Linked DNA regions of Sus scrofa. The protein of the gene in region 5 interacts with the protein of the main gene of each other region in a pairwise test. Links are inferred from orthologs where the notes say so. Each region holds a gene or a part of one and is shown on either strand. Other genes may lie near its edges. The genes, in order: STAT1, PRKG1, ZNF24, ADAMTSL4, LMO2, NUTM1 and RINT1.

The links.
Region 1: the proteins of LMO2 (region 5) and STAT1 interact in a two-hybrid assay, tested with the Homo sapiens proteins (2 studies listed by BioGRID and IntAct). The two-hybrid records come from large-scale screens. The link is inferred for Sus scrofa from reciprocal best matches to the Homo sapiens genes LMO2 and STAT1.
Region 2: the proteins of LMO2 (region 5) and PRKG1 interact in binary tests that used the Homo sapiens proteins (3 or more experiments, as listed by UniProt). The two-hybrid records come from large-scale screens. The link is inferred for Sus scrofa from reciprocal best matches to the Homo sapiens genes LMO2 and PRKG1.
Region 3: the proteins of LMO2 (region 5) and ZNF24 interact in binary tests that used the Homo sapiens proteins (3 or more experiments, as listed by UniProt). The two-hybrid records come from large-scale screens. The link is inferred for Sus scrofa from reciprocal best matches to the Homo sapiens genes LMO2 and ZNF24.
Region 4: the proteins of LMO2 (region 5) and ADAMTSL4 interact in binary tests that used the Homo sapiens proteins (3 or more experiments, as listed by UniProt). The two-hybrid records come from large-scale screens. The link is inferred for Sus scrofa from reciprocal best matches to the Homo sapiens genes LMO2 and ADAMTSL4.
Region 6: the proteins of LMO2 (region 5) and NUTM1 interact in binary tests that used the Homo sapiens proteins (3 or more experiments, as listed by UniProt). The two-hybrid records come from large-scale screens. The link is inferred for Sus scrofa from reciprocal best matches to the Homo sapiens genes LMO2 and NUTM1.
Region 7: the proteins of LMO2 (region 5) and RINT1 interact in binary tests that used the Homo sapiens proteins (3 or more experiments, as listed by UniProt). The two-hybrid records come from large-scale screens. The link is inferred for Sus scrofa from reciprocal best matches to the Homo sapiens genes LMO2 and RINT1.

What each region holds. Positions count from the first base shown.
Region 1 is NC_010457.5:95,611,820-95,615,319, forward strand, and holds part of STAT1 (signal transducer and activator of transcription 1), read right to left. Parts: intron 3,125-3,500; coding exon 2,989-3,124; intron 1,336-2,988; coding exon 1,286-1,335; intron 577-1,285; coding exon 482-576; intron 1-481. UniProt on the Homo sapiens protein: Signal transducer and transcription activator that mediates cellular responses to interferons (IFNs), cytokine KITLG/SCF and other cytokines and other growth factors.
Region 2 is NC_010456.5:97,562,210-97,565,080, reverse strand, and holds the end of PRKG1 (cGMP-dependent protein kinase 1), read left to right. Parts: intron 1-244; coding exon 245-311; intron 312-2,029; coding exon 2,030-2,128; 3' UTR 2,129-2,371; downstream 2,372-2,871. UniProt on the Homo sapiens protein: Serine/threonine protein kinase that acts as a key mediator of the nitric oxide (NO)/cGMP signaling pathway. GMP binding activates PRKG1, which phosphorylates serines and threonines on many cellular proteins.
Region 3 is NC_010448.4:119,164,405-119,168,698, forward strand, and holds the start of ZNF24 (zinc finger protein 24), read right to left. Parts: upstream 2,801-4,294; 5' UTR 2,709-2,800; intron 851-2,708; exon of another isoform or gene 846-850; 5' UTR 763-845; coding exon 343-762; intron 103-342; coding exon 1-102. UniProt on the Homo sapiens protein: Transcription factor required for myelination of differentiated oligodendrocytes. Required for the conversion of oligodendrocytes from the premyelinating to the myelinating state.
Region 4 is NC_010446.5:98,586,456-98,590,691, forward strand, and holds the start of ADAMTSL4 (ADAMTS-like protein 4), read right to left. Parts: upstream 2,801-4,236; 5' UTR 2,635-2,800; intron 2,124-2,634; 5' UTR 2,050-2,123; intron 890-2,049; exon of another isoform or gene 813-889; intron 153-812; 5' UTR 1-152. UniProt on the Homo sapiens protein: Positive regulation of apoptosis. May facilitate FBN1 microfibril biogenesis.
Region 5 is NC_010444.4:27,051,136-27,054,635, forward strand, and holds part of LMO2 (rhombotin-2), read left to right. Parts: intron 1-3,293; coding exon 3,294-3,500. UniProt on the Homo sapiens protein: Acts with TAL1/SCL to regulate red blood cell development. Also acts with LDB1 to maintain erythroid precursors in an immature state.
Region 6 is NC_010449.5:80,156,698-80,160,812, reverse strand, and holds the start of NUTM1 (NUT family member 1), read left to right. Parts: upstream 1-1,315; 5' UTR 1,316-1,352; coding exon 1,353-1,494; intron 1,495-3,245; coding exon 3,246-3,954; intron 3,955-4,115. UniProt on the Homo sapiens protein: Plays a role in the regulation of proliferation. Regulates TERT expression by modulating SP1 binding to TERT promoter binding sites.
Region 7 is NC_010451.4:105,391,381-105,395,652, reverse strand, and holds the start of RINT1 (RAD50-interacting protein 1), read right to left. Parts: upstream 2,801-4,272; 5' UTR 2,644-2,800; coding exon 2,602-2,643; intron 2,284-2,601; coding exon 2,238-2,283; intron 1-2,237. UniProt on the Homo sapiens protein: Involved in regulation of membrane traffic between the Golgi and the endoplasmic reticulum (ER); the function is proposed to depend on its association in the NRZ complex which is believed to play a role in SNARE assembly at the ER.

The DNA.
Region 1 (3,500 bases), on a different chromosome or scaffold from region 5:
TTCTACTACAAAAATGTCTGAATTTATGCATCTCATAGCGAAGAGGAAGGCTCAGACAATCCATGTTCATATCCAAGACTTATGACCAGGTTAAAGCCTCTGCTGAAATAACAACTGACCCTGGGAACAAATTAGAAACAACTTACCAAGTTAAAAAAGGTTTTTCTTCTTTTCTGAGAGGCAAGAAACTAGGTGCTCAAGAAATTTTTGTAGAATGAATGAATGCATGAATTGCACTCAGGGCTTTCTAATTTAGCTTTGAAAATGCAAATAGACATATACTATGATAGGTATAGATTTAATCTTATGAGGGTCCACTATCATGAATACCTGAAGGGACAGCCTGTAAAACAGCTGTGTGTGTGAGATGCACATAGTCCTGTCAAGTAATGAAGTCTGTCTGGGTCAGGCCTATCCCAGCCTTGCAGTAGGGAGCGTGTGCTCAACATGTTTCAAGAATACATCTATCAATGGCCCTTACCCATCATTCCAGAGAGAGAGCAGGTGTTTCTTAATGAGTTCAAGGATACTTTCAATCCAAAGCCAGAAAGGAAAATTTTTGTCATTTATGTTTTCCTGCAAGTATACAAATGCACACATTATGAACCACAAAATCCAATACAGTGACTTACCATGCCTCCTCCCACCGTGGGATTTTAGTTTGCAAACACTGCCCAGCTGCCAAAGCTAGGGCTGTCCCCTCCAGAGAAGGCCCTCCCTCTTATCAGCATTCAGACACCAAGTTCTCCACTTCCTGAGCTGGGCTCTGCTTCCCTCTCCAAACAGCAGCCACCCGGCCAAGGAATGACCTCCAGGGTGAATCACGGAACATGAGCTGCCTTCATTTGCACTACTAATATCCAGTAGCACAAGCTTGTCAACACTGTCTGGTGACCCTAGTGGCGTCTGATTATTCCCCTCAACTGGTCTCACTGCTGGAGCAGACTCGGGCAAGCTCATCTGGCCCTGCAGGCCAGCCACGTCGGCACAGAGCGCATTCCTCATGGATGGGGCTGAAATGCCGCCAGGCCAAGGGCCACTGTGAGCAAACAGAAGACTCACTTCGGATATGAAAGAATGTTATCACACAGGCAGGTGCTTCCTGTCAGGCTCACACTTGGAGACTAACCTTTGGAGCTGAAGGAAAGTAAACAACTTGCCCTTGGGGTTCCATGGGTGAGAGAGGAATATGCCAAAGTAAGCACAGGGCGGTCAGCGTCACGGCGAGAACTCCTTTACACAGAGTGTAAAGAGCTCCAAAGTCTAAAGCCCAGACAGTACCCACCTTACAGAACCTCGTCCAGGGAATAAGACCGTCAGGGCCAGCAGTGGGACCTAAACAAATACAAATAAGCATTTTCAGGAAATGGAAATCGATTCTGAAGCTTTGGCTGGACTGATGGCTCTTGTATTTGCTCTCAGAAAGCCAACATTCAACAAAGGAAGGTTGTATGTACCTGGCTGAAACTCCCAGAGGCACTAATATTAATTACCTGCACTTTCTAGAGAACCTCCACCTGGTCCCTCTTTGTGCAGCATCGTTTCCCACTGCCTGCTTCCCTCTCCCTCTACTGTAGGCTCCTCTTCCAGGGACCCTACAGAGCTTTTTCCTAAGTTTGAACTAAGATGAAAGATGGGCCCCTAGGAGATCTATTTAACTGACACTTGACTTTAGAAGCTTATTTTAGATGATAGGCATGTCCCTCAGCCCTCCTCCAAATAGGACACGGGCTCAGGGAGATCGATGCAAATCAAATGCCAAGTTAGCGAAATGAGAGAGGGCAAGGAAGCCTAGTGGTTATCACTACAAAGTGAAGTGGCCCAGGCTGTAAGAGGCAGTGAGCCCACCATTTCCTCACAGAGAACCACAGATAAGCCATCACAGGTGGAAAAGATATGTCTTAATTTGGTGCAAATAAGGGATTTCTCACTTTTTACTAAAACAGCACAAGGTCCCCACTGTGACAGCTACATGGCCAAGAGAAGGCACTGCTGAGAGCCATTTGGTTAGGAAAAGCCTACTGGTATTTGCAGTACATGAAGCTCTGCTATACAGTAAGCAAATCCAGAGAAAAGGTACCCATGGATTTTTAAAGAAATAGTTCAGATACTCCCATGCACTGAAGATCTGACCTTGAGGCCAAGAGGTCTTGGATTTGCTTAGTGTGGAAGACTAAAAAGCCCATGACATTAGCTACCGACAGGGAATTTTCTAGCATGGCCGGGACCACATCAGGCACTGCTGGTGACAGGCATCCTCCTGATGTGGGCCGTGTCTCTGCCCACCTGACACAAGACACCTGGGTGTGTGCTGTGTGGGCGGCCCCACGACCTTATTCTTACCATGCTGGGGGCTTTTTTCTCCCCAAGGTTAACATGACTTTCATCTTTCTTATCAAAGAATATTCTAGCCACAAATAATACATTTTACATAACTCAGAAATCTTTCCCTTAGGAACTCTGCTCAGAAATGTTAATATGAGATAATGGGGAAATATTTCATTTTTTTTATTGTTTCTTTTGCTTTTTAGGGCTGTACCCATGGCATATGGAGGTTCCCAGGTTAGGGGTCAAATTGGAGCTGTAGCCACTGGCCTATGCCACAGCCACACCAGATCCAAGCCACGTCTGTGACCTATACAACTCATGGCAACGCCAGATCCTTAACCCACTGAGCGAGGCCAGGAATCGAACCCACATCCTCATGGATACCATTTGGGTTTGTTACCACCGAGCCACAAAGGGAACTCTGAAATAATTCATTTTTAAAATTTTTTATCAGGTCTGTATCTCCTTCCAAGGTGAGGCATAATTTTCACTCAGCTATAACAAACCGCAGCTATAACAAACCGCAGCTGGAAAAGCCAACAGATTTTTAGCACTCTTCTACCTTGAACAAAATAGAGAGCAAAGAGGGAAAGGGGGGCAAGTCAGGATATTTTTATGAATTTCAATGGTTAGATATACAAAAAGTTAATATGTTCATACCAAGAAGTTTCTCTCCCAGCATGTTCAGCTGGTCCACATTGAGACCTCTTTTGGTGACAGAAGAAAACTGCCAACTCAGCACCTCTGAAAGCTGAGACCATCGTGCACAAGGTGGGTTCAGGAAGAAGGACAGATTCTAGAGAGAAAACACCCAGAAGTTAAGAGCTACTAATGAGTCACCAGTCACAAGCTTGGCATTGAAAAGTGGAGCCGTGCCAGAGTTCAGTGCTAACCTCTGTGACACAGACATTTTCACAGCAGCAGAAGAGAAATACAGTCGATTCTCATTACTTGAGGATTCACATTTGTGAATTCATCTACTCACTAAAATTTAACTCCAGAATCAATACTTGTGGCACTTTTGCAGTCATCTGTGGACACACCCAGGCACACAGTGGTGAAAACCTTGAGCTGCTCAATATGTGCGTTTCCACGTGAGGTCAAACAAATCGACACTCTGCTTTCCTGTTCATAATCATACTATAGGCGGGTGTCCTTTTCGAGGTCTCTAG
Region 2 (2,871 bases), on a different chromosome or scaffold from region 5:
TACTAGAATTAAAAAAAGGAGTTGCTTTCTAATTGGTGTTTAAAATTTTGACAATTAGTTTTTTAAAAAATATGCATTCCATTGAATAAGCTAATATTCAAAAACCTGCAATTAATAGAAAACATTTTCTTCACATTGAAAATGGGTGCCTGTTTTCTATCAGTCATGGACATCATAGAAGTTTCAATGAGACGACTTTAGCTGAGGTAAAATGCCTTAACTGTCTACTTTTTTTCTTTCTAAGGTGGTTTGAGGGCTTTAATTGGGAAGGCTTAAGAAAAGGCACCTTGACACCTCCTATAATACCAAGTGTAAGTAGACCTTCCAGCTTGTAATTGTGTGACACACATGAAGGTGTTTCTCAGTCAAAGATCTGTTATTTTTAAAATTTTTATCCTATGGTCATATTAAATAAACTGGTTAAATACCAGGTTAACATAATATCTTTTAAAATCCAAGGTTAAAAACAGTGTTAAATATATACAGATGTTGACAGAAGAGTATAATCTTTTATTCCTCATAATAGTAAAAGGTTTATACATCTTTGCGCAAGGATATATTAACAACTTTAGTCATATTCATGATTATTAGCAAAATATGTATACTATTTTAAATTTCTGCACATAATGTGTTCTCTCTCTACAAGACACAGTAAGTTCTCAACCATTTAGTGTGTACATGGATATAGTTGAGTGAGATAGGATAATCTGCTACTGTTAACTTCTGTTTATGATTCCAGTTTACTCTTTACTGTGCTCTGTCTCCAAGAGTACAACCCAAATGGACCATATCAAAACATTCCCTGCCCTTTGCTTTCTTACTGAGTTTGGTCAACAGTCCAGCAGCCATTTTCAACAGCTGTCAATTCCTGGCCAATACTGTTTCAGTTATGCTCCCACTTAGCTCCTTCTTCCCTGTGCCCACAGTACTTTGAAGCACTCCCAAGAACAATAGTGTTCTTTTACCCTTTCAGCGGTCTCTAAAAGAAAAGATTCTCTTTTCTTAACATATCAGGTGGTTTGTTAAACTGCTAGTCTACTAAGTGGACTAAATGTTTTACACTATATTAACCTGAAAGAAATTTCAATGGATTCCATTTTTATTTTTATTCAGTACTAGATCTATCTTAAAAAAAAAAAAAAGTGCTGTGTTTTAACTAAGGAAGAAAGAGTTGCTTTGCAGTCCTGAGCCTTTCATTTACATACTTTATTTATAGGACTAATTCAGGGTTGCTCCTTGTTCAGAAACATTTTTTCCTACATCTAAGATTTCTATGCTAATATTTGTTTATTCACAAGCAAATTATTTAAGATGCTCATTGCATTCATAAAGTTTTGTTTTTAGAAACAAAATATGAAATTCTAAATATTATATAATATGGGAGAATTAAAGTGTGTTTCTTCACTGCTTTTACTGATGCTCTGCAGATTAGACTTTGCCTAATAAACTTATAAGAGTTTTGCTTAAGTTCAGTAATGGCTTTTTATTATACTCAGAATACACACACAAAATCCTTAGGATGACTTCTGCCTATTTGTCCTATTTCTCATTCCACCCCCTTCCTCTCTTACACAATAGCCAAATGACCTCTTTTAGATCTTTCACAGCATGAAGACCTCGCTCACCTCAGGAGCTTTGTATTCAAAGCTCTTTACTGAATTCATTAATTCTTAGCTTTAAGTCAATACTTTTTCAACGAGGCATTCCATGATCATGCTTTTACTATCATGACACCTTCTATTTTTTTCTTCATAACACTAATCAAAATTTATACTTATCTACAGATATTTGTGATGATTTGTTTTAATCACATTATTATATCTTAGAGTATAAACTCTATGAGGGCAAGAACCATGTTCATTTTTATTCACCACTGTTCTCTCAACACAAAGAGCAAAACCCACTCAGAGGAGACATTCCAAAAATAGCCATTGAGTATAGAATGGATAAAGAATGCTTTAAAAAAATCTAGCTGGACTCCCACTGATAAAAATCAGAAATCTTTTACTGTTTGCTCTCTCATTTGCAGGTTGCATCACCCACAGACACAAGCAATTTTGACAGTTTCCCTGAGGACAGTGATGAACCACCACCTGATGACAACTCAGGATGGGACATAGACTTCTAATGTATTTCTCTTACCTGCTTCTGCCTTGCTGAAGACAGCTTTTTCTGAGACATAGCTGCCAGCAAACCTGAAGGAAAGAGAGAAGACTAGTGCTCGGGGTCACCATGATGCCTTTGATCGATGCTGCTCCAGTAACTACAGTGGCATTAGGACTTATTGCTTAGATGACAGTAGTGCTCTTTACATGTTTTCTGTTTGAACCTAAAAACAGCAGTTGACATGGTGGTCCTGAAGCAAAGCCTTTTACCAGTAAAGAGATGTTTTCTATTGTTGCAATGATCTTGCTTTGCTCTGATTATAATTTGAAAGACTGTAGGAAACACTTCAATCTAGTGAAAAGAGTCAGTACCTTGCTAGAATTATCAAGATCAAAAAATAATATATTGGGTACGATAGATTACTATGGTACAAAAACTGAACTCTTCCCTTTCTTCAAGTGAGGGCTGTAGGATATATTACTGCAAGCTGGTGTATATACCGCACACAAGAGGACCACACATCTGTTGGTCAGAGTTCATGTCAAACCAGTGCTAGAAGTTTCATGATTTTATTTCCCAGCAGTGCTGATGACGAGACTGAATGTTACCTTTCCTTTCTGACAGATTTAAAAAATTGATATGATAAAAGCACAACTGCTATGGATTCTGCTGAGAACTCTCATAGCAGGTATATATGCGTTTTCACAGAGGACTGAAGAAAATAATGTGCATGATATTTTTTTTTCTTTTTGATAAATTGGCATG
Region 3 (4,294 bases), on a different chromosome or scaffold from region 5:
GTTTTCCACAGCATCAAGCTCAGAACTTGGTAATCCCTGAGCTTCTTCTTGAGATACAATCTCCTCTACTAGCACGTCCCGTTTTCGTCGCCGAAGAGAAACCTGGAAATAACAGGACTGGTTCAAATGAGAAGGAATCTGTTGAGAATCAAAAACACACACACAAAAGCAACCACACGAAACATATGCTGCAGAGGCCTAGATGACAAAGCAGCATAAATAATGGGGGGCAGGTGGAGGCATAAACAGAATTCTAACTTAGCTGAGTGGCATTAAATCAGCAGCTGCGCCTACTGCCATGTCAGGGCTCCTGACCCAGGAATGCAACACAAGCGGGCTTACCGGCTGTCCAGGGTCATCTAGCTCACTCTCTAAATCCTCTAGAACGGTCACTGCCTCCTCTCCATTCTCTGGATGATGCTCTCGAACCCAAGTCTGTAGCTCCTTGGGCAGGATGGCAACAAACTGCTCCAGTACTACCAGCTCCAAGATTTGTTCTTTTGTGTGTGTCTCTGGCCTGAGCCATAGACGGCAAAGTTCTCGAAGCTGGCTCACAGCTTCACGGGGCCCAGGTGAATCCTGGTATCCAAACTGCCTGAAGCGCTGTCGGAAAACCTCCGGGTCAGGGAGGTGGTTCCAAGGGATACTTGACCCCTCTTCGCCATCAGGATCCTCCTCCAACTTCACCCTCAGAATTTTTTCCTCTTCATCTGGAGTTGGGATGATAAGTATTGAATCTTCTTCCACTGACTGTGCAGACATCCTGATTTATAATACTCCAAGAAAAGACAATCAAGGTAGGAGACAGGCCTCAGGGAAATACCCTGTTTTCTTCACAGGCACTCCTGAGGCACAAGAAATGAAAACAATATAAATGACCAAATATCCTAAGAATCTGAACATACCCTGATAGAAGAAAAGAAAATGTATTTTTACTAAATTAAACATGCCAATCAATAGCCTACAACAGAAGTTCCAGTTCACTGCTAAATCTGGCCCACTGCCTATTTTTCAATAATGCTTGCACTGAGAATAGTTTTCACATTTTTATATGGTTGAAAAAAATCAAAAGAACACTTCATGTCAGGTGAATATTGATAGAAATGAAAGTGTCTGTCTCCATAAATAATTTTACTTATTTGTTCACTATTGATGCTACAACAGCGTGACTACTGTACTCTACTCAATAGAGTTGAGTAGTTGCAATAAATGCTACATGTCATGAAAAACTTAATATTTACCATCTGGCCCTTTTGAGAGAAGTATGCCAATCTATGTCTACAAAACTTGCCTATCTCGGTGTTATCTAAATGGAACACATTATTTGCAATTCAATACCGGTGTAACCTGACACACCTGAGTCACCTCAAAAGGAGGGGTATCTTTTTTAGCACCTGCTTAAAAAATTTTGACAATTTTTTTTTTTCAGGGCTAAGAAATAGTTTTAAAATGTTTAAGAACTCCCTGGACTAAAATATACATGAAAAAAATATTCACCTGCTCAATAACAGATACATGATGTTGAAAAAAACCACTAGGTGCCATAAAATTCAAATATTATTCAGTCACCCGAGACACCATAAGTACCTTTCAATTTGTAATGTGGGCATTAATCATAGCAAATTCTATGAAGAAAAGGGACTCTCATAACACCTTGACTTCCCACAGTGGCGCAGACTCTAATCCTTACACTGGATGACTCACAATCTCCCCAGCTTCTACCTTCAGGGAAACCTTGGGCTATTTCTGATCCTTTCCTTAGTATTTGCACAGTCATGCCTATGCCATTGTTTAAAACACCTACTGGGAACAAGCCATGCAGTTACTCAATATTATCTATTCAGGGCCCGGAATCTGAAAGTCAGTAACTGCCCAAAACTTCCTGTAAACCTATCAAGTCTAGGTATCAGAAAAAAATCTTACCAAGTAATATACATACAGGTTTGTTTAAGCACTCTGGAGTGTGGCGGCCTTATAAACAAGGTTTAGCCAACAGTATTCGTTTGTTCCTATTCCAAAACCCTACCTTACCATTGGCTCAAACACTCTAGAAAAATAAAATTTCTCTCCCCTTTACGTTTTCATACAGCACCCTGCCGATGGGACGTGAGGAGGTGCGGGGAATGCGAACCCGCAGTCCCAACCAGGTTTGCGCAGGGAGTCCTGTCCCACGCGACCTTCCCACTCACTCAGCGGAGTGCCGTGGCGAACCCGGCCCCCACCAGACCACTCCAGCCCCTCTTCTCTCCACACTCCCGGCTGCGGCTTTCGGAAGACCAGAGGCCACCTAGCCTCAACAGCGCCGGAGTCACGGCACTTCCGCTCGAGGCCGGCCAAACTACAAGTCCCGGCAGCCACGGCGGAGGACCGCCCACCCCCCTCCACCCGAAAAGAATCCCAGAACCCTCCGCGAGATGCCAGGGCCTCGAAATAGAACAAAACCGGCCGATGGGGGAGGGGGGAAGGCGGGGGTCGCGGAAGGCACAAGGAAGGGAGGACTCTCCAAGGGTGCCGAAAGCCCTATCTGGCTTTCTGTCTATCCCTCCCTGTCTCCCAGCTGCTGGGCGCTGAGACCGTGGCCTGTCCCCCGCGCCTCCCGGGAAGCCAAGGAAGGTCACCGCCAAGCTTTTTCGCTAACTCTTGCCAAGCGGACCACAGCCTCTAGCCCAGCCTCCCTCGCACGCTCTTCCCCCCTCTCTCGCGCAAACCTCAAGCTCGGGAACTGCAACCGCTTCGCTGTCCACGGCCGACGCAGAAACGCCGCCGCTCACAAGCCGTTTCCCAGAAGCCCCCGGCGCAGACTGCTTCCGGTCTGTGGGCCCCAGGAGGCGGGGGGTAGGCGAAGCCCCGCGTTGCCATAGAGATGCGCTCCGGGCTGGGGGAAGGGCTGTCCAACTACAATGACCGCTTTGAGGCTGCGCTTGGCCTCACGCCTCTCTCCCCTGGTTAGCCCAGTCTTCTGTGTTCCCCTTAAAAGACCAGGAAAGGAAAGAAAAAATTCTGCCACTAATGTAGTCTTTACGGTGTCATAAGTCTTTTCACATGCATTATCTCATGTGATCTTCACAGTAATCCTCTGAAAGAAGTAACAAAAGCTAATATTTATGTGTGCTAACCACGTTGTACCAGGTTCTGTCACCGTGGTTTACATGTCTTGTAATTTAATTTTCGTGAAAACCCTATGATGTAAGAACTTTTATTATCCCCATTTCACAGCTGAGGTAATTGAGGCTCAAGTAAATAGCTTGCGGAGAATACATAACTAGTAAGTACGAAGCAAGATTTGAAGCCAAGGCATGACTCTAACCTTTGGCTACCATTTGCTGTGCTATAGAGCTTTATTATGACTAATTAATTTGTCAGGGAAACAAGATGAGACTCTTAATCAAGAGCTTTGGCAATGATCGCAGAGTGAATTTGCAGAATGCATGGTTATCTTCTGACTTTAGGCTTGACATTTCATACTACAAAACAGCTGCCAAAGTGATTTAAAAACATAAATCAGACCACTTAATGCCCCTACTTAAAGGCCTTCAGTGGATCCCTACTGCATTAATTATGACATTAAAAACTGCTTACATTGGCCTGTAAGGCCCCCTGTGGTTTTTCCCTGCCCCCACCTTACCCCCACACCCCAGCTCTTAGCCTTGTTGTGGCTGGCAATCGTCAGCCTTCCTGACCATTTCTTCCTCCTGGAAGCCTTCTCACGCTCATAGCACTGGGTAGAAGTGATCTTATGTATTCATTTCACTGGTTTTTGTTTTATTTCGTTTTGTTTGTAAGTCCCATAAGGGCAGGGACCTTGCCTGTCTTGTTCACCACAGTATTCCCATGTAGTCCCGGGATGCTGACTGCCTGGTACATAGAGAACTCAATAAATATTTGTTGAATAAATGAATGAAATGTGGGCTGGTCACATTGCTGCCTTTGCTAGGTCACATGTTCAGCATCAGGAACCACACAAAAGAGCCCTGTTGTTTAAGGTCTATGTTAGAAGTACAGGTCCAGCCTTCCAGCAGCCTTCCAAGATCTTCAGGCTTCAGCTTTCTGCCTCTTTCAGAGTGCCCTTTGCAAAGTGCCCTTAGGCTCTGCTGAATTCATGAATGAGAGCGCAAGTGAGTCAGCTGATGATCCCATAGCACTACTTTACTCTCTGACCAGGATTTTGCCTCCCCAGAACACCTGCTACTTCTGATGGCCCTTCTTCTCTTTCTTTTTTAGGAGGTTTCTGAAATCCAGACTTTTTTTTTTTTTCTCTTTTCTACTTGGCTACTACCACCAACCTGCTTGGCTG
Region 4 (4,236 bases), on a different chromosome or scaffold from region 5:
AAGGAAACACTCTACTTGGGCATCTAGGCTTCAGAGGACTGAAGACGGACCCAGTCTCGGGAAGGCTGGGGACTGGGAGGGATGACCCCTCAGCAAGACATGTCAGAGTGAGGAGGGAGGCGTGGAGAAGACTGGCCCAGCTCTTTAAGATCCTAAGGGTGGGAAGAAGAAGGAACACTTCTTTGTCCGTCTGCCCAGGCTAGAGGGTGAGGGTCTGCCCTCAGCCTCCAGACTCAGGCTAAATCCCCTCCCTCAACTGTAGGAAGGTCTCAGCTCCTTCCAGTCCTGACTAGGGACAGTCTCAAAGCCAGCCCAGGCACATGCATCCTTCTCAAGTTGCTTTCCACCTGGCTCCTCCTGGAAAGCTGAGAAAAGAGGCTCAGCAAGCACTTGCCAGGCACCCCCTCTGAGCTGCTGACTGGAAGCCCCTGGGTTTCCCCTGCCTGTCTCCCAGCTTTCTCTTCCTTTCTTTTATGGAGGTTCCCAGGCTAGGAGTCTCATCGGAGCTACAGCTGTGGCAACACCAGATCAGAGCCGTGTCTATGACCTACACCACAGCTCAAGGGATGCCGGATCCTTAACCCATTGAGCAAGGCCAGGGATCAAACCCGCATCCTCATGGATCCTAGTTGGGGTTGTTAACCGCTGAGCCACGACAGGAACTCCATCTCTTCCCTTCTTAGCTAAGCTCCTTCTGGAACCCTCAAGCACATCTCTGCCTGCCTCAAATGCTTTTCAGCCAAGGGATAAACTAAATGGGCTGATGGTTTAATCTCTAGAGAAGCAAGTGATTTTTCCCACTGAGACTTCACCTCCCTCTGGGGGCTGGCGTCCAGCCCTGGATCAGTGAGGGCTTACTTCAGGCGAGATTCTGATGGGCTTGGAGAACCTGGGAAGGGGAGATGCAGCTAGAGATGTCGTTGCTCCCCAGTCCCGCATTGGTCTATCTTCTGAAGAGCTGGGAAGTCCATCCTGAAGTCTAGCCTTGATCATCTGGGAAGCAGAACTTAGTCCCCTGGTCTAAGCCTGACTCTTCCACCGCTCCCCCTTGCCCCCCAACCCCTTCCTGCTCACAGTGAGGCCTTTCCACCCCCACTCCTCAGGCTGCTTGGAGCTCTGCTTTCCAGGAAAAAAAAAAAAATGTTTCTGTTGGATCTGAAAGGCACCCGGGAGAGGAATCCAAGGAGCTAATGCCGAGGTGGGCCAGCTCAGGGGCAGGAAAATGACAGCGGGAAGGGCAGGAATGTGCTTGGGGGTAGCAACTCCCAGCCCGCACTCCCCTCCCTGAGACCCCAGGACTTGGGAAGTTGAGGGAGGGGTCGCAGTGGTTGAGCCCGAGCTGCAGGGTCTCTTCAGCTCCTTGGGGTTGGGAAGGGGTTGCTGATGTCTGCTCCTTCCCTTGGCTGGGCTGGCCACTGAGGTCAGCAACTCCACCCTGATGGGGGATCGGGTAGGGGCTCCAGAGAAGGGCCAACGTTCCACCCAAGCCTTCAGCTCTCTGCCTGCCTCTCACTGGAGGGAGGTTGAAGGGAAGGAGAGATGGGGTGATGGTCACTGTCTACCCCTTCTTGCTGCCAGGCCCCTCTCCAATCCCTCTCTGCTTCTGCTCGCAGCTACCCCAGGTCTGTATCTTGCTTTCTCTCTCCATGGGTCTACCCAGTACACATAATCCTGTCCTGAGCTGAGTTTGGCTTTGGCAGTTCCCTGGAGAAGTGAGGGGTGGGGGGTGGGGTGACGTGAGCTCCTGGGGCCATGGCCAGGCCTGGCTCCCTCTCTGGAAAAGTCCTACCCCACCTCCTGCATAGCTGGGCAGGGGGCCGACACCCCCTCCACTGCGGAAACAGACACACATTTGTGTTTTTCACCCTTTTCATGTTCCTCATCTGGTGTGTCTCACCGCCCAGGGTGAGGAAAGGAGAGGTCAGAAGTGGTCACCCTTGGGCCAGGCTAACATTGGTCTAGACGAACCTGGGCTCCTCCCGGCCACACCTCCACACTGGCCAGTGAAGATTAAGGAGAGACTAACCCCTTCACCCCCAGGGGACCCACCTCTGGGAAATGGGTGCCACGGAGGGGCAGGAGGCTGGACAGCAGGTTCCAGGGCTGGCTGGAGAGTCCCTATGCTGAGAGAAAACACTTTGGTTCTCCTTGCACCTTCCACTCCTGAGTGAGGGAGGCCCAACCCGACAGGTGTCCTTCCTTTCCAATCAGGCTGAGTTTGATCACGGGCACCCACCAGCACCCCTCCCATCGTCCCTATCCCCCAACTCCAGGGCCAAAGGACGGGGGTGGAGGGTGGGATACACATCCTCCAGGAGCACCCTTTCAGATGAGGGCAGGTGGCGCCCGGCGCATGCCGCGAGGTCCTGCGTATGTTTTCCGACTTTATGACTTAGTAGGAATTTTGGCCGGGTGACGGGGCCAGCGTTCCAAGGGATCAGACCCCCTCCCCAGGAATCCGGCCCCAGGGACTGGAAGATCTTCCGAGGCTCTAAGAGCTGGGGCCGGGGTCGTGGCTGGGGCGCGACCCTGGGGAGCAGGGAACTCGGGTGGCGCGGGCGCGCAGGGCCGGTGGTCTAACGGGACCTGGGAGAGAGGGCAGCCGGGGCCAGGGGTCCCAGGGAAGGTCTGTACCTGCTCTTCGAGGCCCCGGCGGCCCGTTAACCCCTCTGCGCCCGGGCGCTCTCTCGAGACAGCTTTGCTCCGCGGCGGCCACGGCGGCCCTTGAGCCGGGCTCCGGACTCTGCCGCCTCCGGCCGCGGCTCCGCCCCCGCCACGCCCCCTCTCCGCCCCCACTCCGCCCTCCCGCCACGCGCCCGGCCCGCGCCCCTCGCCGGCCCCCGGGTCTGGGCGGCCCACCCCGAGCCCCCGGCTCGCTAAGGCCACCCACCCAGAGTAGCGGGACTAGCTACTCCCGCCCGGCGCCCGCCGACGGCTCGAGGGGGCGAAGCCGAAGGGGTCCCAGCCCTGTTCGAAGACAGCCATCGCCCCCGGGCACTGTCTCCCGGCCTGGCTGCGGCTCGGGACTCCGGGACCCGGGCCTCCCAGCCGGCTCCGAGTGGGCGGTGCGAGTGCTGCGCCTGCCCTGGCGGGGCGGCCGCGAGGGGCGCCAAGGGGCTGGGTGGTTCCTGTACACCAGCGGCGTGGACGAGCCTCTGGGCCCAGATCTGGGCACTGCTGGGCCGAGATAGACCCGCACGATCCCAGATGCCCCATCGGCGGAGGCCCTCTCCTCCACGCAGCCTCTGGTGCAAGCACACTCTCATCCCTGCCTCTCCCACGTTTGGCTGTGAACCATGTGGTTCTGGCTGCTCAGGGGACCTCTATGAGCCTCGGTTTCTTCTTTTTCTTCTTCTTCTTCTTTTTTTTTTTTTTTTTTTTTCTTCTTTTCTTTTTTGGTCTTTTTAGGGCCACACCAGGGGCATAGGGAAGTTCCCAGGCTATGGGTATAACCAGAGCTGCAGTCCCGGCCAACACCACAGCAACGCAGGGATCCGAGAAGCTTCTGAACCTATGCCACGGCTCATGGCAAGACCAGATCCTTAGCCCGCTGAGCGACGCCAGGGATCGAACCCACATCCTCATGGATACTTGTTGGATTGATTACCGCTGAGCCAGGAGGGGAACTCCAAGCCTAGGTTTCTTCATCCATAAAATTTGACACACAGGGCATAGCGGGAGGAATGCGCTGACTTAGGAGTCAGACGATTTAGATTTGAATCTCTGCTCCAGGACTTGTCAGCTCTGTGGTCTTGGATGAGTACTTCAAACTTTCTGTGCTGCAGTTTCCTCATCTGTAAAATGGGCTTATCTGATTCATATGACAGGCTTGGAGATACGTCTGTCTATTTATGGAAGAATACATCCCAGACTCAAAATTGGAGACAATACCTGGGGAGGGGTTGTGGGGTTAGGAGGCTGTCACTCTATGCTTATATGTTTTTGAATTTTTAACCATGAGCATTATCTATGTCATTAGTTAAAAACAAAGAAAAATAATATATACAAAATGGCTGACAGTAGATAACAAATGGACACTACGATTTAAATTTTTATTTGCCATTTATTCATCAACCGCAGTCGTGTATTATTGAGTCTATTCAGTTTGTTTGTTTGCTGTATTTTTTTGCTTTTTCTAGGGCCACTCCCTCGGCATATGGAGGTTCCCAGGCTAGGGGTCTAATCAGAGCTGTAACCGCAGGCCTACACCACAGCTCATGGCACCGAGCAAGGCCA
Region 5 (3,500 bases):
CACGAATAAGCCCTGTGCTGCCTGGGCTTGTTAATCTTTTGCATTTTTAAAAAGGAGAGGAAAAAAAAAATAGTCTGGGAGAGCCCAATGTTAATTAACTTGTGTCTTGGTGACATGAAATAATTCTTCTCCCTGCTACATTCCTAGACAACATGTTAATTAACTCTGTGTTAGTGCAGGCGTTTCCAGCCATCCTTTCATATTTATATTATTGTTATTAAAATGGGCAGGAGGAAGCTTAAGACATGACACCTCTTGACAGAGGAGAAAAATCGTTTCTTGCTGCAGAGATGGCCCTTTAGCCATGGACTTGTTTGCTTGCATTCTGAACATTTTTGGTATGTCTGGGCAAAAGACAAGTTGAAGGGGTCCTGTGATGGGGTTCATCCTTCTCCCCTGCCCTCCAAGGAGAACTTCTTCCCCTGAGGATTTCCAGTGGCTGACTTGCCTGTTACAGTCTTTTTCAGGCTTTTAGCCTCAAATATTCATGAGACTCCCGTGCAGAACTGGAATAAACCCCGGGCTATTAGGTGGTTTTGTTGGGAACCTAACAGTAGTTGCTAATATTAAAGCTCAGCCCAGATCCCCACAGATTCCTTTTTACCAATCTGTGTGTGTCGTGCACCCGCCCCCGCCACCCCCGGCCATGGTTTACCTTCAGCTGCCAGCACCTGCACCTGTTAAAAGCCAGAGGTGTACCCACTACCCCTGCAGATGCCCAGCTGACCTTGCCCCATGACTGACACTGCCAGAGACCAAAGTCCTGCAATCTTGCCTGGAGCCAGGGCCGCCTGGAGACACAGCTTCCACCCTAGAGTTCCCACGCGGTCAGGTCGAAGCTCCCCTCTGAGGCCCTTGGCCCCAGATCGCAACTTTGCTTGCCTTCCACCCCTTCTGCCTGGCTTCCTGCCTCCTACCCATTTCCCCTGATTACACATCCTCAGTCATATGAGGCTTCAGGTCCGCTCCTGGGCCATCCAGCCCAAGGCACCGATTTTGGTGCCAGAGGTCAACACTCAATTTAGATGTCAAGTCCTGGCTTATTTTCATGAGTGGCAAAGTCTCAGCAAACCAGAGCTGGAAGGGGCTGCAGAGACCTTCTCTTCCTGGTCTCTTGCTCTACAGCTTAAGACACAGGAGCCAGGGCAGAGGATGTCATTGGCACCTGGCTAATTAGAGGTGATGCTGGGACTTGAACTTGTCTCCCAGACATCAGTCCTTCGTCCGTCCCTTCATTAGCTGCCTGACGTGGGTTGTAATTTACCCCCGACTTCCCTTTAATAAACGCTCTCCTCCCATAAGGGTCACACACCCAGGCGCCTGGCGTCATTCCACGCACACGGTTTTGTGAGTCATCGATTCTCGCTCGGCCCCAACTCAACTTACTGAACGATCAGGAAACCAGAACTGCCTTTCTACTTCCTGACCGCCAAGGTGGCAGCTCCCCACGGCTCCTCCATTTGCTGCCTCGGGATAAAATGTTCTCCCCCAGTAATGAGTTTGCTCCCAGGTGGTGCCTCGAAAACACTCAAAGGGATCTTCAAAGGGAAAGCGGGATTCGGAGAGAAGCTAGCTGGCCTGGCTGTAACAGGGAGCGCTCTGCTCACAGACCACATCTTGATCCCATTAGTGTAGCCCACACATTTCAAAATTTGTCAGCTGCCCTTATCTCCCCTACGGCCACTCAGAATGTGCCGGTTGATTCTCTATTTGAAGTTAATAAGAACAAGCATTTACCTAACACTGCCCCCAAAGGGTGGGAAGGACCCCCTGAAATGCCATGTGATCAGGCACGTGCAGAAATGACTTCCGGCAGCAAGACTGGCCCCTTTGGGAATACCCCCAAGGTGTGTTAAAACACAGCCAGAGTTGGCTTCGCCCTTGACCTTGGCTGTTGGTGGTTTGACAGGCTGCATTGTATCCTTCTAACAGCTGGGTGAGGCAGGCGCTATGAGCGCTGCCGTTTCATAAGCTCAGAGGAATCGGAGGTCTCACCAGGGTCACTCAGGTACTCAGGGCGAGTCCTGGACTGAGTCTGAGTCTGCTGATTCCCATGCCTGTGGGCTGATTTGCAAACTTCAGCCTGCATTCGAATCACCTGGAAGTGCTCAGGATCGCCCGCAGAGTACCTCCATCAGGAGGGCCCGAGTGTGCATTTCTCACAAGCTCCCAGCGAGTGCAAATGCGGCTGGTCCCCGGACCACACTGAGACCCACTGCACTGGGCTCCGCCATATTGCATTTCCCACCTTGACACTGAATATTCCTTGAAGTAATTGACCAACTGAGGCTTCGGAGGGTCTTAGTTTCAATGTCAGAAGCCTCTCCAGAGACTCGTGCTGTCGGGGCAGCAAGGATCTTCAATTAAGATCTTGCATTGGGCATGGAGAGACGTCGCTTGTCCTCCAGATCTGAGGCATGCTTAGCTATACCACGTGTTTTCTCTCAAACTGCCTCTGTCTCCCAGGAGCTGGGGTCCCAGCGAACAATCATGTGGCCTTTGTGCCTTTGGAGTCATTCAAAACCAGTCCTCCCCTTGGGTGGAATTAGCGGCTGTTGATATGATAGATCTTGGGAGCTTCAGAAAGATGCCCAATTCATCGCATTCCTGGTCAGTTTCCTCTCAAAGGGGCCCCCAGGGGTTTCCTCCTGCTCTTCTTCTGAACTGAGAGTTTTGGAGTTCCATTGCGGCTCAGCAGGAACGAACCCAGCTAGTATCCATGAGGATGTGGGTTCAATCCCTGGCCCTGCTCCGTGGGGTAAGGATCCAGCATTGCTGTGGTGCAGATGGCGTAGACACAGCTCGGATCCCACATTGCTGCGGCTGTGGTGTAGGCTGGCAGCTGCAGCTCCAATTCAACCCCTAGCCTGGGAACTTCCATGGGTGTGGCCCTAAAAAAGCAAAAAGCCCCCCAAAACAAAAAAAACCTGAGAGTTCCCCTGGGAGGAGGCACGCCAGCCATGCCTACCCTCTTACAAAGCTTCAGCTGAGAGTCTTTTCCACAGAGGCGGCCTGGGGCAGCCTAAAGGCGAGGAGAGTGGTTGTTGCAGGCAGGGAGAGAGCTCATGAGAGGGATGAGGTGTTATGGCCAACACAAATGCCGCAGATACCATTTCACCCCAGAGGACCCTCTTCCTTCCAGGAAAGTACATAGGAGTCGGTTATCTGTCTGGACCCAGCTCTTCCTTGCTTCCCGACGTCTTGGAAATCCAGCCAGCATCACGGAACCCATCCCCAAGCCCTCTCATCTCTGCCAGTCTCTTTTGAGCTTTTTCTCTCTTTTCCTCCCCCAGGCTTTTTGGCCAAGACGGTCTGTGCGCATCCTGTGACAAGCGGATCCGTGCCTACGAGATGACCATGCGGGTGAAAGACAAAGTGTATCACCTGGAATGTTTCAAGTGTGCCGCCTGTCAGAAGCACTTCTGTGTGGGCGACAGATACCTCCTCATCAACTCGGACATAGTGTGCGAGCAGGACATCTACGAGTGGACTAAGATCAA
Region 6 (4,115 bases), on a different chromosome or scaffold from region 5:
TATCACAAGATACACACCCATTTCAGAGGCAGTGAGCTTCTATTACCTGGAGAAACCAGGGCTCCAGGACCCAGAACCCCTTTTACTTTAGGGAAGAAAGAAGAAGGTTTTCTTCCCTCCCCTCTTTTACATCCGGTTCCCTCGCCCTATTTCAAAGTATTGGCGGTAAAGAGTGCATGATGGGTATTCAATATTCTGTACAGCGAAAAGAGCGTGAAGTTATTTTATGAAACTGGTGAAGTATGTTTTAATGGTCGAACCAAGATTCAAACTCAAGTCTCTACCACAAATTCAACGCCCATTCTTATAGTGGTGAGTAGCTAATAAGACGCACCCCTTAGGGGTATTTCGAATTTTTAAAAGAACGTACAAATTCTCCTTATAGGACTTCTAGTTAAAGCAATGAATTTGGAACCGAGATATCTTTACGAAGGTGGCCGTTATTATTTATAACGGCAGAAACGTTGTAATATATATTAAGTTTATAACCAGAAAAAGCTGAAAGCTTTTTTAAAAAGAGTATAGTTTGTGTTTATTATAATTGCATAAAATACCTTTGCAAGGATTCAGAGGAAATTTGGTTTTCCCTGGGGTAAATAACTCGGTTCCAGAGGAAAGGAATGGTTGGAGACTTGTTATATTTCATTTTGCATAGTTTGACTTTTGAACCATGCTGACATATTACCATTTAAAAAATTAAGATTATTAACAAAAATTTTAAACAAAAATAACAAACAAAAAGAAGGACTTTTTGCTCTTGAAATTTTAGGCTGAATAGCAGTTTTTGATGGAATGGGAGGCTTTTCAGCCAGGGTTAAGGCTAAGCCTTCTGTGGACTGCAGAGCTGATGGTAGTGGACAGTTTGGGAACTGCAGCACAGCTTTCCAAGGAAATGATATGTATACAGCAATTCAATGCCCTTGATCTTCTAAGACAACCCTAATTTCAAACATTCTGTTCCCTTGATCCTTAAGTACACAGACTATGTGCTCTGAATTTGGTTCAGAAAATACAGCCAACACTGAATTAAGTCAAGGGTTTGCCAGAACCTGTTATTAATAGGAAGTCAGTTATAGAACTGGGTAGCATTGAAAGACAAAAACTAGATGTATTGGTGAAGAATTCTGTAGGGAACCAAGATGTGGTTGGGAATCCAGGAAAGAATCTGCAAGTTGCCCCAGAGAGGTGTGCAACAATTGTGTTGCCATACTCTGATTTGGAGGGAATTCCTGGTTACTGCCCACTTCCAGAGCCCTTTGTGGAATCTCTCCCTAACCCCACCCCATAATGCCACCTCCCCTCCCCCCCTGCAGAATGCCTTGGGTCCTAGATTCTAGTTCTGTTTTGATCTGATGTTTACCATTCCTTCCTTGGATCCCTGTGTATCTACTGGAGCCAGGTTACTCTCTGGGTGCTGGACCCACCGTGTCATTGTGAAGGCTTCCAGGCAGCCACGGTTAGTGCCCAAACCGGAGAGGATGGCTTCAGATGGAGGTGAGTCTGCAGGTGGGGGAGGTTGGGGAGAGTCTACCACCTGCTCACTTCTCGGAGATTCAACACTTGACGCTTCACCTGGGCTGACCTAGAGGGATGTGAGTGCACTAGACCCCCACCCAAGGCGTCACACTTGGGAAGGCTAGGGAAGGAGATTGTGGGAGCTGGAGTTCCCCAGTAGTGCAGCAGGTTAAGGATCCAGTGTTGTCATAATGTGGCTGGGGTCAAGTCCCTGCTGAGATGAGCTTATGATCCTTGGCCTCCCCTCCTCCCCTGGAGGGTGTGGCCAAAACAACAACAACAAAACTGGGGATTGGGGGAGGAAGAGAGCTTCCTGGGTGGCCAATCAAAGTGCCTCAGAGGAGAGTGCTGAGTAGAGAGAAGGGATGGCAGTTAGCAGCTTGCCTCTCTGGAAGAGGGACCCCTTCAACATGCTTCTGTATGGCAGGGGCAGGGGTATGCGTTGTACAAGGGGCACGAGTGTTTCAAAGGGGAGGCCCAAGTCGTGAGGTCTTCTTTAGGCAGCTGGAGCCTGCTCTGGGATTTTGCGCGGAGAGAACTGAGCTGAGGCTGCTCTCCATCTCATTGGGTAGGGGGAGATTGGAAGTCTTGGCTAGAAAACCGTTCAGTGGGGTCATCTGTTGCCAAGTCTGTAGGGAAATGTTCTCCAGGAAGCTAGACTAGAAGGTGCTGTAAGTGCCTCTGTTCAGAGCCTCCTGGATCTGCCTTTAGTTCAGGGTGTGGGTTTCCTTGCTGCCCCAGGGCCAGGGGTGGGAGGTCACTCAGCAGCGATGAGAACTGACACTTTCCAGAGGTGCTCTGTTTTTTTTCCACCTTTCGAGGAGCTCAGGCCTTCAGACCCATTTCATGGTGTTCTGTACTTTGGGGAATATTCCTGGCCCTCTGCTCTAGGCTTCAGGGGAAGTTTGCTGCTCTTCATCATCTCCTTCACGGTCAGGAAGCTGAGTGTTGTTAATTTGCCAGTGGAATATTCTTCATAAGAGGGGGAGGAGAGTAGCATGAAATTAGCCAGATGATCTTCTATTATTATCATTAAAAGTCTTAGGGACACATGTCCCAGTTAATTAAGTACATGTTTTACGTATTTATCCTTGGTTTCTTTGACTAGAGTCCTCCTAGCTCGTGCTCAGCAGGAACTGTGTTTCAGTCTTCGTTATCAGTGCCTTGTTCAAAAGTGGATCCTAAACTTCTGATACTGGGAGCTCCGAACAGAAAGATCACAGATAAAAGTACAACACGTCCAGCAGTTATTTAAAGCTCTGGAAACCTCCCTCTCCACACCGCCCTCCCCAATCCATTTCCTGGCCCTTATCTCTAGTCATTCCTTGCTGTTATGTAACAAATTTCTGGGAACCAAACATATAATCCACACACACACACACCCGCTCCTGGGAATAGTGCTTCTTTGAGTGGTGACAGGGGCCACAGAGCAGCTGGGAGCAGGGTTCAGGTGGTTTGAATGTGTTTGTAATGGGTGGGAATAAAAGATGTCCCTGGATGCTAGGTGGCATGTGTCATGGGGTATGAGCTTATGGTTCAGAGGTCATTGTCAATGGGGAGTAAGGGACAGAAACAGTTGGAGGACATTTGCAAACTATACAAGTTCCCCCTTCCTCACCTGTTGAGAATCAGTGGCCTGCTTCTTCAGGGACTAGAGTGGAACTCAGATGGACGTAACTGCTGGTCTCTTTTTCTCCTCCTCCATCCCCTCTTTTTCTTTGTCTCTACAGTGTCTCCATTGTCAGCACCGGACATGACCATGAAATCTGGCGCTGCCCTGTCTCCTTTCACAGCACTTCCCCTCCCCCAGCCTGCTCCTGGGCCACCAGACCAACCACCCTGGGAGCAGCCCTCACAGCCCCCGATGCATCCAGCATTCTCTTTAGGCAACCCCCTGGTGCTCTCTGCTTTCCCTAGTCCATTGCTGGTAACAGGGGATGGGGGCCCTGGCCCCAGTGGAGCTGGAGCTAGCAAGGTCATTGTCAAAGTCCAGACAGAAGGGGGGCCGGCTGAGCCCTCTCAAACTCAGAACTTTATCCTTACTCAGACTGCCCTCAATTGGATTGCCTCAGGTGCTCCCTGTGGGGGCCCTGAGTGTCCTGCCACCGGATTCCTGACAGCCTCCAACGTGAAGACCCTCCTGCCCACCAAGGCTATTGGAGTGAGCCAGGAGGGCCCACCAGGCCTTTCTGCTCAGGCTCCACTGCCAGCTGCCCAACTGGCCCCCATTGTACCCCCAGAAAAGGCTTGGCCAGGACCACGTGAGACAACTGGGGAAGGAGGTCCTCCAGCCGCCCGATCCAAGCCCTCTCTGGGTGACCTCTCCTATACCTCCAAGGGTGTTTATGAGAATTTCCGACGCTGGCAGCGCTACAAAGCCTTGGCACGGAGGCACTTATCCCAAAGTCCTGATGCAGAGGCCCTCTCCTGCTTTCTTATGTAAGTGCGGAGACCTGAGATTCATTATCCTAGAGGCTTTTCAAGAAGGAGGACTTGGGGATGGACAAAAGAGTTTAGGCTCTTTAGGAATACTTGAAGGAGGGCAGGTCCTGAGGGTGATAGAGATGTTATTGAGAATGAAAATAACAACAGCAGCAATG
Region 7 (4,272 bases), on a different chromosome or scaffold from region 5:
AGCTCTTTTTCAACAGCCCCCCCCCCAAAAAATGGCACAAATGAACCTATACACAGAACAGAAACAGACTCACAGACCATAGAGAACAGACTTGTGCTTGCCAAGGAGGAGAGGGAGGGAGTGGGATAGACTGGGAGTTTTGGGTTAGTAGATGCAAACTGTTACACTTAGAATGGAAAAGAAATAAGGTCCTACTGTATAGGAATGTATAACTGGGTCATTTTCCTGTAAGACAGAAAGTGGCACTATACTTTAAAAAATAAAAAAGTAAAAATTATATTCTTTTGATTTAACCATTTAAATGTAGCATAGTACAGTCTTAGTCAAATGACATTCTTCAAAATGACACACTGCTGATGGCGTAGGGGTGATGTCTCTTTTCCTGTTTTTTGTAAGGAGCACTTCTAATTGCAAAGAAGTTGACCAAGCCACCAAAGGAAGGTCAAGGACAAAGTCCACAGCTTAATGGCATCAACTTCCCAAACATATGAGTGGGGCAAAGGTAGAAAAATAAAGTGTTGGGAGTTCCCATCGTGGCGCAGTGGTTAACGAATCCGACTAGGAACCATGAGGTTGCGGGTTCGGTCCCTGGCCTTGCTCAGTGGGTTAACGATCCGGCGTTGCCGTGAGCTGTGGTGTAGGTTGCACACGCGGCTCGGATCCCGAGTTGCTGTGGCTCTGGCGTAGGCCGGTGGCTGCAGCTCTGATTAGACCCCTAGCCTGGGAACCTCCATATGCCGAGGGAGCGGCCCAAAGAAATAGCAAAAAGACAAAAAAAAAAAAAAAAAGAAAAAGAAAGTGTTTAATTGAGAGAGGTACAGGAGGTACTCTCAAATCCTTTAAGGAAAAGGAGCTGAGTTGTGGCAGCTGTGACTGGCAAGCACTATGAAGTAGTTAAAGCTTTCTTTCTGAGGCAGACTGTAGCAGGAGGCAATGTTAAGGGCAGGTCTAACCCCTAAAACTAATATGGTAACTTAGGCACCCTTTCTATTACTATTCATTCCCAGGCTATGTGCCACGGCCAGAAGAACCAAAACACTCTGATGAAACAGCTGTTACATGCTTCCCTCTTCCTCTCCCAGTAAATTTCCCTCCAAAGGCCCCTGAATATTCCTTGATTTCCACCAGTGTGCCATGCCTAGCTCATTAAAATAAAATGGCACATGTCTACATCCCTGGCATATATATGCTTTTATCTTAGGTAGGAAATGGAAATAATGATCTTTCCTTCTTCTGGGTTCAGTTCAAGAACCAGGAACCAAGTTGTCTGTTGTGCCCTTCCCAAATCAACTTTTATGTGCTAATTCACTGAAGATAGAGTATAACTAATTATCATTTGAAGGCATCTATTTGACAGGCCTGGAGCAGTTACCATCTGCTGCTAAGGTATCCCCTACAGAGGCAAGAAAAAAGTGTCCTCACCCTTTCTGTCTGATGGTGGTAACAGAGAATGAATGGGGGGATACTGGGAAAAATATTTTGCAACTCACAAAAAACCCTGTGAACAGTAAATGCTTGATTTACTCCAAACAATTTGTTTTTAATTTTACTACCAGATTCTTTTGGGCCTGGGGGGCTGCCAAGTGCAGCAGCCTGATGTGGGATCTCAGTTCCCAGACCAGGGATCAAACCTGGGCTGCAGCAGTGAAAGCACTGAGTCCTAACCAGAGATCTAGGCCACCAAAGACCTCCCTCAAAGAAGAATTTGAGTTTACAAGGCAAGTACTGAAAAATTATTCCCCTACACGCTTGTCCTCTGATTGATTCCACTTGTAAAAGCATATGGGCTAAGTCTAATTAAAGGCAAGCCAATAGGAAAAGTTATCATTTGACTCCTTTAAACCCAACACAGGTGGAGGTTATCTCTCCTAGATCATCAGCCCGTTCTAACTCGTGATGCTTATTAAGTTGATGCTTCATTGCAATAACAGGCAGTTCCCAACTAATTTAAGTCCAGTATTGAGTGAGACTCCACCAGTTCCTGCACTAGGTAGGAGTCAGGAAGCCTTCTTCTCCAAATCATCCCATATTGTACAATCCTGAAAGCCAAAAATATATGTATGATAATAATCAGTATTTAATACTAGGAAAGGATACTCTACGGAAATAAAAAAAAAAAAAAAGGTGCTTCATCTAAAAAATAACAAGGTACCATCCTTCTTGGATGTAGACCCTGCAGGACTGAATTTTGGAGAAATGCTGAGTGGAAAGTGCAAAGGCGTTCGGAGTCTGCTTACTTTTGTCCTTGACATCCTTCCTTTGGTCACCATTTTCAGAACAGCACTAGAAGGAGAGCAGGTGTGACAAACACATTAAGACTGAAGCAATAAGTGAAATTCATACAGGGTTCCCAGAGGGCATCCACGGGAGGACCCCAAGGTTCCAGACCCCTCCCCCCTGGAGACTTCCTGAGGTGCGATCTGATGCAGGTTCCAAAAAGGGCTAGCTCCTTGAGGCCACCACAGCCACCTCCCCAGAAAGATCTGTGTCATCTCATCGGTATCGCCACAGCCACTGCATTGGGATTACCTCTCCTGAGAGGTCTATGCCACCTCACTGGGCCACCAGTGTCCCCTCCCGCGGCCACTAGGGCCCCCTCACCGGGGTTGCTGGCGCTTCGCCGATCTCGCTGGCCGGGAGCATCCTGCCTCCGCGCGAGTCCTCGGTTCCATGTGCAGCCAGCGTGGTCAGTGGACCCTGGCTCCGGCCAGCGGCTAGACAGCGGCTGAACCTTTCGAGACCTTAGCGTTGGACGCCACGGCAACTTCCTCTGCCGTCTCTCTGGTTTCTTCCTTTCTTTCCAGAGAGGCCCTTCTCGCGCAGTTGCCGGTCTTGCGCGGTGGCGCCCCCTGCCGGCTTGGATCCGGATCGGACGCTCTGGAAGAAGAAAAGGGGGCGAGCAAAGGCAGTCCTTGTCATTCTAAGTAAAACCTCCTTCACTGCTTTGGAAACATTAATGATGGAGATTCAAAGTATCCTTCCTTCCACACTGTAAATTCATTATGAATCATTTCAACTTATATTTTAGAGGATATCCCAGATGTTCTGAGAGTGTGAGGGAGCTTGTTGACAAGTAGTAATGTAATTTGGTTGGGTGGTTTAATCGCATAATTTCCAATGTCAGTATCTTTGGATCATTCTTTTAAAGCTAATCAGATTTAACTACAAGTTACACTTCAACTTCCTACCTGAAGGGTGCAGATCTGATTGTAAACATTCTGGGAGCAGAACAGAGGGAAAGGACTCAGCATCTAATATATACTTCAGATCAAAGTCTGTACTTTGCCAGGGAGGAGGACCAGGACTGGCAGCATGATATAGGTAGAGAATTCAGGGATGCGACAACTTCAAAAATAAACATGTAAAGTGGTACCATTGAGACTAAAACTAACAGAGAAAGGGAGAAAAAGCAACCCTTAGAGAAAACAGAACCGATTCAATGAGAACATTGTATTTATTTATTTATGTCCTGAGATATGACGCCACTGCGACTATAAAACAATCACGAGCTACTATTTTGTTTTTACTTTTTGGCCACAATAACGGTAATTCCCCGGCTAGGGATTGAACTCACCATAGCAGTAACCGGAGCCACAGCAGTGACAAGGCCGGATCCTTATCCCACTGAGCAACCAGGGAACTCCAACAGTCTACTATTTTATTTTATTTTATTTTTATTTTGTCTTTTTCGGGCCACACCCACAGCATATGGTGGTTCCCAGGCTAGGGGTCCAATCGAAGCTGTAGCCGCTGGCCTACGCCACAGCCATAGCAACACGGGATCCAAGCCACATCTGTGACCTACACCACAGCTCACGGCAACCCGGATCCTTAAGTCACTGAGCAAGGCCAGGGATCAAATCCCGTTCTCATGGGTACTAGTCGGGTTCCTTAACCACTGAGCCATGACAGGCACTCCTTATTTTATTTTTTTGTCTTTTAGGGCTGCGCCTAAGGCATATGGAGGTTCCCAGGCTAGGATCAAAATGGAGCTATAGCCACTGGCCTACACCACAGTCACAGCAACACAGAGTCCGAGCCGCATCTACGACCTACACCACAGCTCAGGGCAAATCTGGATCCTTAACCCATTGAGCATATGGAGCATATGGAGTTCCCAGGCCAGGGAGTCAGATCTTAACCCACCGAGTGAGGCCAGGTATTGAACTTGCATCCTTACAGACACAATGTCAGGGCAGCCAAAGTACAATGTAACCATATTGGACGGATAAAATAAAAGAAAGGCAAGTGTGGTAGTGGTGGGGTTGGGTG